Linked DNA regions of Canis lupus familiaris. The protein of the gene in region 2 purifies or fractionates together with the protein of the main gene of each other region. This does not show direct contact. Links are inferred from orthologs where the notes say so. Each region holds a gene or a part of one and is shown on either strand. Other genes may lie near its edges.

Region 1 (3,681 bases), on a different chromosome or scaffold from region 2:
CCACACACCAGTCTGGCAGCCTAAGCACACCGACAAGCCCATATGCTTCCAGATTTCTAGTGTAAATGACTAGTCATTTATTTGCCATCAGAGGTGGGAAGGAAAACAGACCACAGTGAAGCAGACTTCCTGGAGACTGCTCTCAAGGAAACTAATAGGCTCCAAGTCTCTCCTGCGCCCACCACCTTCACACCCAGATCGGAAGGCCACCTGCAATCCCTTCCACCACTTGGGTTCTGGGCTCATTAGTCTCCCTTCACCAGGTCAGCCCTGGTGGGATCGGGGCTCCTCTGCACAGAGCCCCACTGCTGAACCCGACTGCTCTATGACTGTGATTCTGATCAAAAGTGCCGGCCGGGATGGGTAAGCCTCAAACAGCGAAGGAACTTTGGCAATCTAAATGTGAACCCAGGATGGTCCCAGGCATCTGGACGTCCCCATGGGCAGCCACCACGGTTCCCTGGAACATTACCGGACATATTCTTTCTTGTTCTCCTCTGTGACAGGAACATTTCGGCCATTGGGTTTTAGTTCATGCTGAAGAATCCTCCCGAAAGCATTGTGTTCCACACAGAAAGTGTGGTCTAGCACGGGGGTGATATCATTCTCTCTGTGGAAGTTAGGACAGAAGACGGATGTCAGACCATGGCCACAATACAGCTGTGAACAGAACAGGAGCTGGAACAGTCCAGGAGATGGATGGACGGACCAATGGCATTTACTGACTGCTACCCCCAGAGCTGAGTGGGGACAGGTGGGGAGCCTTGGGCAGACACAGGGCCTGGGACAGGCCAGGGACACTTGGAGCGGGAGGTGCCGGGGGACCATGGTTCCACGATGCACCCTTGATACTTGGCTCCCCTCGTTCACAGGAAGGTGACAGTGGCTCTGTCATCCTGTGATTTTACAAGACACAGTGACCTGACTGCTTTGTAAACAGAGTCTATAAACAGAAGAGAGGGATGCATGAAGAGCCGAGTCAATGAGAAAGCAACCTGCAGGGAGATACACTCAGATGATACTGTCCTCCCGCCCCTTTAAGGCAGCCCCTCACACAAAGTAGCACATGAGAGTCTCGATGGGCTCCTCCACCTGCCACACTTCTCGAAACAGAGGGAAATATCTCCCTGCCCCTCACAGACTACCCATTTCCAGTAGGGCCACGTGAAGTGAGGTAGAGTGCAAGACCAGACTCTCCCTCTGCCAGAGCCTGGATCTCCCGCTGCTGTGGGATCAGTTCACGTGTGAGGACCTGTGACACGCTGCTCACCATGCAACTGGGCCCACTGCTTGCAAGGGTATGTTAGGATAATTCTTTTAAATTTTTAAAATTATTTTTATTTTTTAAAGATTTTATTTATTTATTAATGAGAGACACCAAGAGAGAGAGAGGCAGAGGGAGAAGCAGGCTCCATGCAAGGAGCCCGACATGAGACTCGATCCCGGGTCTCCAGGATCACGCCCTGGGCTGAAGGCAGATGCTAAACCACTGAGCCACCCAGGCTGCCCACGATAATTCTGAAACAAAGGTGACTGAATATGGGGATCCCTGGGTGGTGCAGCGGTTTGGCACCTGCCTTTGGCCCAGGACGCGATCCTGGAGACCCGGGATCGAATCCCACATCGGGCTCCCGGTGCATGGAGCCTGCTTCTCCCTCTGCCTTTGTCTCTGCCTCTCTCTCTCTCTCTCTCTCTGTGACTATCATAAACAAAAAAAAAAAAAAAAAAAAAAAGGTGACTGAATATAATTTCTCTTGATACTTTTCTTGTAGCAAATACTTTGACATAAGATACTTTGATGCTGATTTTGTTTTTGATACTTTCCCTCCACCTGCTAACCAGAGCCCCCCTAGAGAGTCAAAAGCAAACCACCCACCCACCTCTCAGGCCTGGGGACCAATTGTGATCAGACCTGAAAAATGTGAGGAAACAGCAAAAGAAATGAGCCTATGAAGTGAAACTGGCCAAACATCATGAAAAAAGCCAGTCAACAGAGTATTTCTTGTTAAATCTTCTTTTATGTTTCTGGTTGTAAATCAGTGTTTCTTTATTTCTCTGCACCAACTTCACACCCACCCCTCAAAAGCATTCACATGCACACACACATACAGAATGATAGTCTGGCACACAAGATGGGTGGCTGTGCACGAATGTTCCATGAACTGAACGGTGAGGCTGTACTTACAGAATCCACACCAAGCTCTTGTGTAATTCTGGGTCCACCGACTCCAAATCCGAGAGCTGGATGGGCTTCCCCAGGAGCTGCTTATAGAAGGGAACCGTGAAGCCCCCGTTTATGTAGTGCCCGTGGAACACAGCGAGACCCATGATCCGGCCCACAAAATGGAAATAAGACAGGTGGTCCTGTAGGGGGCACCAGAGAACACGAAGTCATTAGAAAAAGGCAGAGCCAGAGTGGAGAGACCCTGTGCTGCCTCCAAGCTTTTTGGGAAAACTGTCTCATTGCAGCCAGGCCCTGACTCCATCCCTCACAGGCTGTGCTCTCAGACATAGGAAAGAGAGCAGGTTAGGTGGTCAAAACTTGGAGCACGTCTTCTGCATGGATCATCTGAACATGTTACATGCCCTTAATTCAGACACCTGCTCAGGACTGCTACGTCACTGGCGGCACTCCGTGTGAAAGGATAATGCAGGGCCCCTTACTCCAAAGTTGTTAAGGATTTCAACACAGCAACTGCAGGGAATGAAACCAAGCACAGGTCCTCCAAAGAGCAAGGTGCCCAGGAAGCTGGCCCCGCGTCTCCCTGCTGCACCACAGAGAAAGCAAGCAGATGGCAAATCCCCTCCTTCTTCTACCATCCCTCCCCGAGTCCCTAGAGAAAGTGGAAGAGAAAAAAATGCAAAGAAGAAGAAACAGCAAAAAAGGAACAGAAAGGAAAATAAGTGTAAGAGGACCATTCTAAAACTAGAGCTGCTCTGGTTTTTCACAGGAAAACACACATCTCTGCTTTCCATTGGAATTATAATCAGAATTCATCAAAACCTCATTTCCATTTTGGTAAAGAACTCTGTCACACCTGAATGATTGTAGTGTAGAGCTGGTCCCAGGCTTTGCCTCAGGGGCCTTGGCCTCGGCAGCGGCAGCGGTAGCGGTAGCGGTGACCACGGGCCCTGCCCCACAGGACAGCCCCCAAACACCTGCTGCCCAACTCTGGGCTGGTCACGCAAACACTCCACACTTACAGCCTCCTCTCAAGCAAGCAGCTAAGACTATCAGCACTGGTGGCCCAAAAGGCCAGTTGGGGAAGTTCCCATTTTGATTAGGAGGAGGACCGACTATGTAGCCCACGTCTCAGAATGACACGGTCAACAAACACAGTCCTACTACCTCAGTTCCCCCAATTGGTGATTAAAGGGCTCTGAGCATTCCGAGCAGCTCATTTTCACTTCTGTCTTTGAAAACAAAATACCCAGTGATCCCAGGCATGGGACACACAGGAGAGAAAGCCTCCATCTCAATCCAGTTCCCACTCTACCTTTCAGTATCTATTGTCAGAGACTTTGCATAAGTCTACAATGAATAAACTGAGACCAAACCTGAATATCTATTTACAAAAATTTTCCAATTCACTCCCTCTTTATAAGCGTGAATACTTACTGGATTAATTGAAGAATCCGGGTTGATTTGCAACATGTAAATGTTGTCCGTAGAATATTGGA
Region 2 (3,681 bases):
TAATACTTCAAGTTAGCACTTTGCAATATCAAGATCAAATCTGTAAAAGACAAAATCCAGCCCAATTTCATTTGTTAAACATGTAAATTCTCTGAGCACATTGAGATGTATTTTATCTGGGCCTGGACACTTGACTTTGTTGGAGGTAGCCAAGGAGCACTCTTGATGTCCTGACTATTAAGTCCCATGTTCTTTTGAGATGTAAAACCAACTACTTAGGTCGCCATCTTTTTATTCCTTTTAAGTTATAAAATTTCACATCTGGAGGAAAATGCTCGCTCTTGCCAATATTATAATAGTGACAACTAGCAATTAAGTATAGATTAAATAAGATCTGTCTTATGAATTCTTTAAATTTCCAAGTACAAAAGCATTTCTAAAATTTTTGTAAGACCTGGAATTGAGAATCTCAGACACTGCTGGAAAGCATTTTACCCACATTCCTGGTCACACAGGCAACTGGATGAATAAGATGTTAAATCATCAGACCCATCCTCCCAATCACCTTATCTAGCTTCCTCCTTTTAAAAGGCATGTTAGGATCTGGAGAACTGAAATGATTTGCCCAAAGTCAGACTCAGAAATGGTGGCCAGGTTGGTCTAAAATACAGGCTTCTTAATTTCCATCCAGCACCCATTCTACTGTTCTGGGCTGCCCTGATCAAAAGGATGCATTTGTTTATTTATTTATTTTTGTAATATTTTATTCATTTATTCATGAGAGACAGAGAAAGAGGCAGGAGCAGAGACACAGTCAGAGGGGGGAAGCAGGCCCCTTGCAGGGAGCCCGATGTGGGACTCGATCCCGGGACTCCAGGATCACGCCTTGGGCCAAAGGCGGGCGCTAAACTGCTGAGCCACACAGGCGTCCCGATGCATTCGTTTAAAATGCAGGTGACTTCTCTTTCCAAAAGACATGATACTACATATGAAAGCCCCAAAGACTCTACCAAAAAAACTACTGGAACTGATAAATGAATTCAGTAAAGTGGCAGGATACAAAATCAATGTAGAGAAATCTGTTGCATTTCTATACACTAATAATGAAGCAGCAAAAGTGAAATTAAGGAAACAAACCCATTTACAATTATGCCAAGTACAATGAAATATCTAGAAATAGACATAACCAAAGAGGTAAAAGACCTGTACTCTGGAAACTATAAAACACTGATGAAAGAAGCTCAAGACGATACAAAGAAATGGAAAAACATTCTATGCTCATGGGTTGGAAGAACTAATATTTTTTAAATGTCTAGAACTACCCAAAGCAATCTATATAATTAATGCAATCCCTATCAAAATACCAACAGCATTTTCAGAGAACTAAGACAATCCTGAAATTTGTATGGAACCACAAAAGACCTCAGAGTCAAAGCAGTCTTGGTAAAAAACAAAACAAAACTGAAGGTATCACAACTCTGGACTTCAAGTTATATTATAAAGTGGTAGTAATTAAACAGTATGATACTGGCATAAAAACAGACACACAGATCAATAGAATAGAACAGAAAACATAAATGAACCCACGATCATATGGTCAATTAATCTTTGGCAAAGGAGGAATGAATATACAATGGGAAAAAGTCTCTTCAACAAACGGTGTTGCAAAAACTGGACAGTTAACAAGCAGAAGAATGAAACTGGATCGTTTCCTAACACCACACACAAAAATAAACTCAAAATGGAATAAAGACCTAAATGTGAGACCTAAAACTATAAAAATCCTTGAAGAGAGCACAGGCAGTAATTTCTCTGACACTGGCTATAGCAACATTTTTCTAGATAGGTATCTTGAGGCAAAGGAAACAAAAGCAAAAATAAACTGAGACTACAGCAAAATAAAGAGCTTCTGCACAGCAAAGGAAATGATCAGTAAAAACTAAAAGCAACCTACTGAATGGGAGAAGATTTTTTTTAATTATTTTTTTAAATTAATTAATTTATTTGAGAGAGAGAGAGAGAGACAGTGAGGGAAGGGCAGAGGGAGAGTCTTAAGCAGACTGCGCTGAGTGCAGAGCTCAACATGGGGCTCAATCTCAAAACCCTGAGATAATGACCTGGGCCAAAACCAAGAGTCTGATGCTTAACTGAACTGTGCTACCCCAGTGACTAGAGAAGATATTTTTAAATGATGTATCTGATATAAAGAACTGATACAATTCAATACCAAAAAAACAAAGAATCCAATTAAAAAATGGGCAGAAGACATATTTCTTCAAAGAAGACATTCAGATGGCCAACAAACACATAAAAAGATGCTTACCATCACTCATCATCAGGGAAATGCAAATCAAAACTACAATGAGATATCACCTCACACCTGTCAGAATGGCTAAAATCAAAAACACAAGAAACAACAAGTGTTGGCAAGCATGTGAAAAAAAAAGAACCCTCTTGCACTGTTCCTGGGAATGCAAATTGGTGAAGCCATTGTGGAAAATATTATGGAGATTCCTTCAAAAAATTAAGAGAAATATCCTATGATCCAGGAATCGCACTACTGGGTATTTACACCCCAAATACAAAAATACTGAAAGGCAAACATGTATCCCTATGTTCACTGCAGCATTATTTTACAATAGCCAAACTAAGGAAGCAACCCGTGTTCATCAACAGATGACTGGATAAAGAAGGTGTGGTATATATAGAATATTACTCAGTCATAAGAATGAAATTTTGCCATCGGCAAAAACATGTATGGAGCTAGAAAGTATAATGCTAAATGAAATAAGTTAGTCAGAGAAAGACAAACACCATGTGATCTCACTCATATGTAGAATTTAGGAAACAAAAAAACAAGCAAAGTAAAAAGCAAACAAACGCATGCATATGCGAGAGAGAAAGGAACCAAGAAATAGACTCTCAACTACAGAGAACAAACTGGTGGTTACCAAAGGGGAGATGGGTGGGGGGATGGGTTAAATAGGTGATAGGGATTAGGGAGTGCACTTAAAAAAAAAAAAGAAAAGAAAAAAGATGGTGAATTTAAACCCGTCTATACTGATAAGTGCATTAAACGTAAATGGACTGAATGCTCCATGTAAAAAACAGATAAAATGAAAATGCAGGTGCCTTGGTTTACTGGTAGATTTAAATACTATTCTGACACACTGATGGTCACTGCAAATGCTCCATGGCCCTTTTGATGTACTTGAGATTGAACAGGAAAACCAAATTATGTTTTTCACTCACTGATTTAACTGCCATGAAAAAAAAAGAAAAAGAAAAAAAATTCTTGTGTCTATTTTCCTTAAAAAAAAAATAACAAATTTCCACATACAAGCAGAAGCAGTTCAGAAAATTGTGTAGTATCCAAAATCAATACTCACTTCACAACTCTGCCATCTGTTTGGAATATTTGGCCTTAACTTCTGTTCACAAACAACTTTTCTCATTTCTTCAACTGATGGATCAGAAGGTACAAGATCATAATAAGGCAGCTGGTAATCTTCATGAATTCCTATATTGGTTAAAAGAAATTGTTTTTGAAGAATTTACTCAGCTAATGCCAGATCATTCTTTGTCCAGGAATAGCTGAGAGTCCTAGTTCAGGGTTCCATTAATAAATTAGCGAAGTGGAACAGGGCTTCTAGCTTGCTCTATCTCATCCACATCTGCATCAACAAGCATCAACAACCCATCTCTCTGAGTTGGTACTGGGCCCACACTCTGAAACTACAT
Region 3 (3,206 bases), on a different chromosome or scaffold from region 2:
TTAGTGTTGTAATTTTACAGGTGAAGAAACATATGAGGGGAGATTAAATTCAAAGTCATATGACTACTAAGTAGAAAAGCTAACAGAATGCTAGACTGGCTACACTACCCTTATTACCTATGAATATCTACTTGTCATTAGAGTACGGATTAGTTTGTTACACTATTTTTTAGTTTTTTTTTTGTTTTTTTTTTTTGCAGCTGACATTGACAAATTCAACATTATTAACAACATTTTCTATTTTAGAACACTTCTTTTAGTGGGAATAAAAGTTAATCACAGGCATTAAAAGTAAATGGTCTCTATGGACAACTGAGGTGGAGACTATAATCCAGGGCTGGAAAAAGTTAATTTTGGTTTTTCTTTAAACCTCAGAAAAATGGAAAGCCTATTAGTTGGTAGACAGCAGAAAGACTGCAAGCTCTGTGAGTGGAGGGATGCTTCTTTACTGCTATATCTTAAAGCTACAGAACAGTGATTAGTAGGTGCACAAATGTTTAATGAATATTTAGATTAAAAAATCAACTTTGAAACATATCCTTAATAGGATTTGCTTTACTTTGACATGCTTTCCTTTCTATTTTTAATTATACACTAACTAAAATGTCTATTATATAGTCACCTACCCATAAAATGGGGGATTTTTATCAAAAGATTCAGAGTAAGAAATAAAAGACTAAAAAAGGCCTTAAATAGCTTTATTGAAATCTGTATAAATAAACATGCACATTTCAAATGTAAACTCAAGTGAACTCAAGTGCAGACAAAATTTTAACCTCTGTCATGCAGGAGGTTAGTTTACATTAAAAAAAAAAAGAAGAAAAGAAAGAAAAAAGAAAGAAAGAAAAGAAAAGAAAAAAGAAAGAAAAGAAAAGAAAAGAAAAGAAAAGAAAAGAAAAGAAAAAAAAGAAAAAAAAAAAAAACAAAAACCCAAAGCAGCTTTTAAAATACCAGGATGAAAAACCAGCTTTAATATCAAGGTATAAAGCAAAGCCATGATCAACATACCTCATTTATCCTGGTCAAATGCATTTTTTTTTAACTTTTAAATGCTAACATAAATAAATAATTTACCAAAATGTGCACTCACAGAGTGAACTTTTATTTACAATACACAATTTATAATCTATTGTATTTGATTAGTTCAAGTGAAGAACATTATACTTTTTGCTTTAATAACAGTGGGACACAAAGCAATTTCTCAGGTAGTCGATATGTGAAATGTGCCCCAGCATTTAGATTTTCTATTAAAGGCAGTATTGTATGCCAATTGACAATACATTCTTTCAACTAGATCAAAGGGAAAAAGCAGCAAATGAAAAATGTTTCAAATGTTCACACATATTTTTGGCATCCTGGATCCTTGAATGTGGTGAACTAAAATCAAATTCAAGGTTTGTATGCTTTATATACTATACAGGTTCTGACTCTAGAACATGCAAATGCCAATTTTCTTAATTAACAAGTTACCTTCTGAGAAAAGCTGTAAGGCTATGGTGAATTCCATCAGGAACACACAAAGAAAGTTAACAGACCTACCTTTAAAGCCAATTGTCCATTAATGATTTAAAGGCCAGTATATTAAAAAAATTTCTCATCTAAGCTTGATGTAATTATTACTATGGATACAGAATACTATTAAGTCTGTCCTTATATTATAATAATTGGAAGAGCTAAAAGTTGCCAAATTACCAAAAAATGGGGTAGAGAAAAACAGACAGCAAAAATTTTAATTTTGGACCAACACCAGATTAAAGATATGCATTTTAAAGCAAGTCAAAATTTTTTTGAATATCTAAGGAATAGATCCCAATAGCAGTAAAAAATACTTACATTTAACTGAAAAATGATTTTAGATGGAGTGTGAAATCTAGAACCTGTTTTCCACAGCAGCAAGATGAACATAATCTGGATTTTTAATGATACTACAAAAGAAAATAACTTTTCCAAGATTGTTTCTTATATCATGATTTGGTTCTTTAATAGGCCCATATTGATTACCAGGGATAGATTTGAAAATTTGGTTTTCCAAGAATACTACTGCAGTATTTATGCCACATTGATACCGCAGCTAAATATCATAGTAGTAATATATGTGGCAGCCTAATGCACATGAACTAGATTATCCAAAAACTAAGTTCAGCCATAGTTTTCTTGCAGTATTATTAGAGCAAAATAAATGACCAACATCCACAAATTTAACATTTGTCATCAATTAACTCACATCCAAAAAATTAAAGAAAACATAATTCATCAAAACAGCAGCAAACTTAAAAGGGATTTATTTGTGATTTCCTATATATATTTAGCTTGTAATTACAAGACTGTAAATGTATTAAGAGACAATTTCTGTTAAAGTTTTCATTGTGTTTCACTTCAAGTACTGCACAAGTTAAAATCTGATAAAGGATTTACATTCGGTTATCTGAAACTCCCCATCTCAGACTTTTGTTTAATGTGGTGGGTAACTTCATCATTTCAACAGATACCACCAGCAGGAAAGTCTCTCTTTTATGGCTTCTAGGACTTTCATTAGTTAGTGTGCATACAGTTTTCGTTTTCTATATCATTGTCATTATCATTGCTATCTTCATCACTTTCTAATGGGATGCCTGTGGCAGCTGAAGCACCTTTAGTTTCTCGGTCAAGAGGAAAAAAGCCAGTTCCACTGAAAGTGTCTTGTCTCTGGTAGAAAAGTACATATGCTGCTTTGGACTGTTGAAAAAACAAAGCATGTTAAAATGGTCATGATTCTCAAAGATCACATTAAGTATACCATAAATGTTTCAGCTGGTAACCAAAAGACTTTGGTGACAGAGCCTAAATCAAATTTAAAAATCACAAAGGGTCAAATGGAAGTTACTAAAATTGGTTTATATATAAGACAACTTCTATGTATAAAGAAAGAATACTCACTAGAATTAACATTTTTATTCTCTATTACATTGATCGAACAGATAAGTAAATGCAAGTATATCACAGATTAACCCAGCTACTCTAACATGAAACAATTCTATGCCTTCTTCCCTCCCATCTCTAAGGAAAAGGTAAGCTTCTTTCTACTACTAATGGCTTCACTTGAAGTTTGCTATGAGTCCAGCTCTTCCTACCGTTTTAAGGATATTGCTCCATCCATCATCACCGCGTATCCTTACTAAGTCCTCCTCTACTGCACTTCTTAGCGTAACAAATACTCAAGTTGTTTC

What was found. Proteins that work in one complex are often made in the same cells at the same time.
Region 1: the proteins of TGFBR1 (region 2) and SMURF1 purify together in Homo sapiens (affinity purification with western blotting; 3 studies listed by BioGRID). This does not show direct contact. The link is inferred for Canis lupus familiaris from reciprocal best matches to the Homo sapiens genes TGFBR1 and SMURF1.
Region 3: the proteins of TGFBR1 (region 2) and USP15 purify together in Homo sapiens (affinity purification with western blotting; 4 studies listed by BioGRID). This does not show direct contact. The link is inferred for Canis lupus familiaris from reciprocal best matches to the Homo sapiens genes TGFBR1 and USP15.

What each region holds. Positions count from the first base shown.
Region 1 is NC_049227.1:10,567,893-10,571,573, reverse strand, and holds part of SMURF1 (E3 ubiquitin-protein ligase SMURF1), read right to left. Parts: coding exon 3,620-3,681; intron 2,365-3,619; coding exon 2,186-2,364; intron 611-2,185; coding exon 473-610; intron 1-472. UniProt on the Homo sapiens protein: E3 ubiquitin-protein ligase that acts as a negative regulator of BMP signaling pathway. Mediates ubiquitination and degradation of SMAD1 and SMAD5, 2 receptor-regulated SMADs specific for the BMP pathway.
Region 2 is NC_049232.1:56,548,471-56,552,151, reverse strand, and holds part of TGFBR1 (TGF-beta receptor type-1), read right to left. Parts: intron 3,461-3,681; coding exon 3,330-3,460; intron 1-3,329. UniProt on the Homo sapiens protein: Transmembrane serine/threonine kinase forming with the TGF-beta type II serine/threonine kinase receptor, TGFBR2, the non-promiscuous receptor for the TGF-beta cytokines TGFB1, TGFB2 and TGFB3.
Region 3 is NC_049231.1:5,996,448-5,999,653, reverse strand, and holds the end of USP15 (ubiquitin carboxyl-terminal hydrolase 15), read right to left. Parts: intron 2,716-3,206; coding exon 2,533-2,715; 3' UTR 682-2,532; downstream 1-681. UniProt on the Homo sapiens protein: Hydrolase that removes conjugated ubiquitin from target proteins and regulates various pathways such as the TGF-beta receptor signaling, NF-kappa-B and RNF41/NRDP1-PRKN pathways.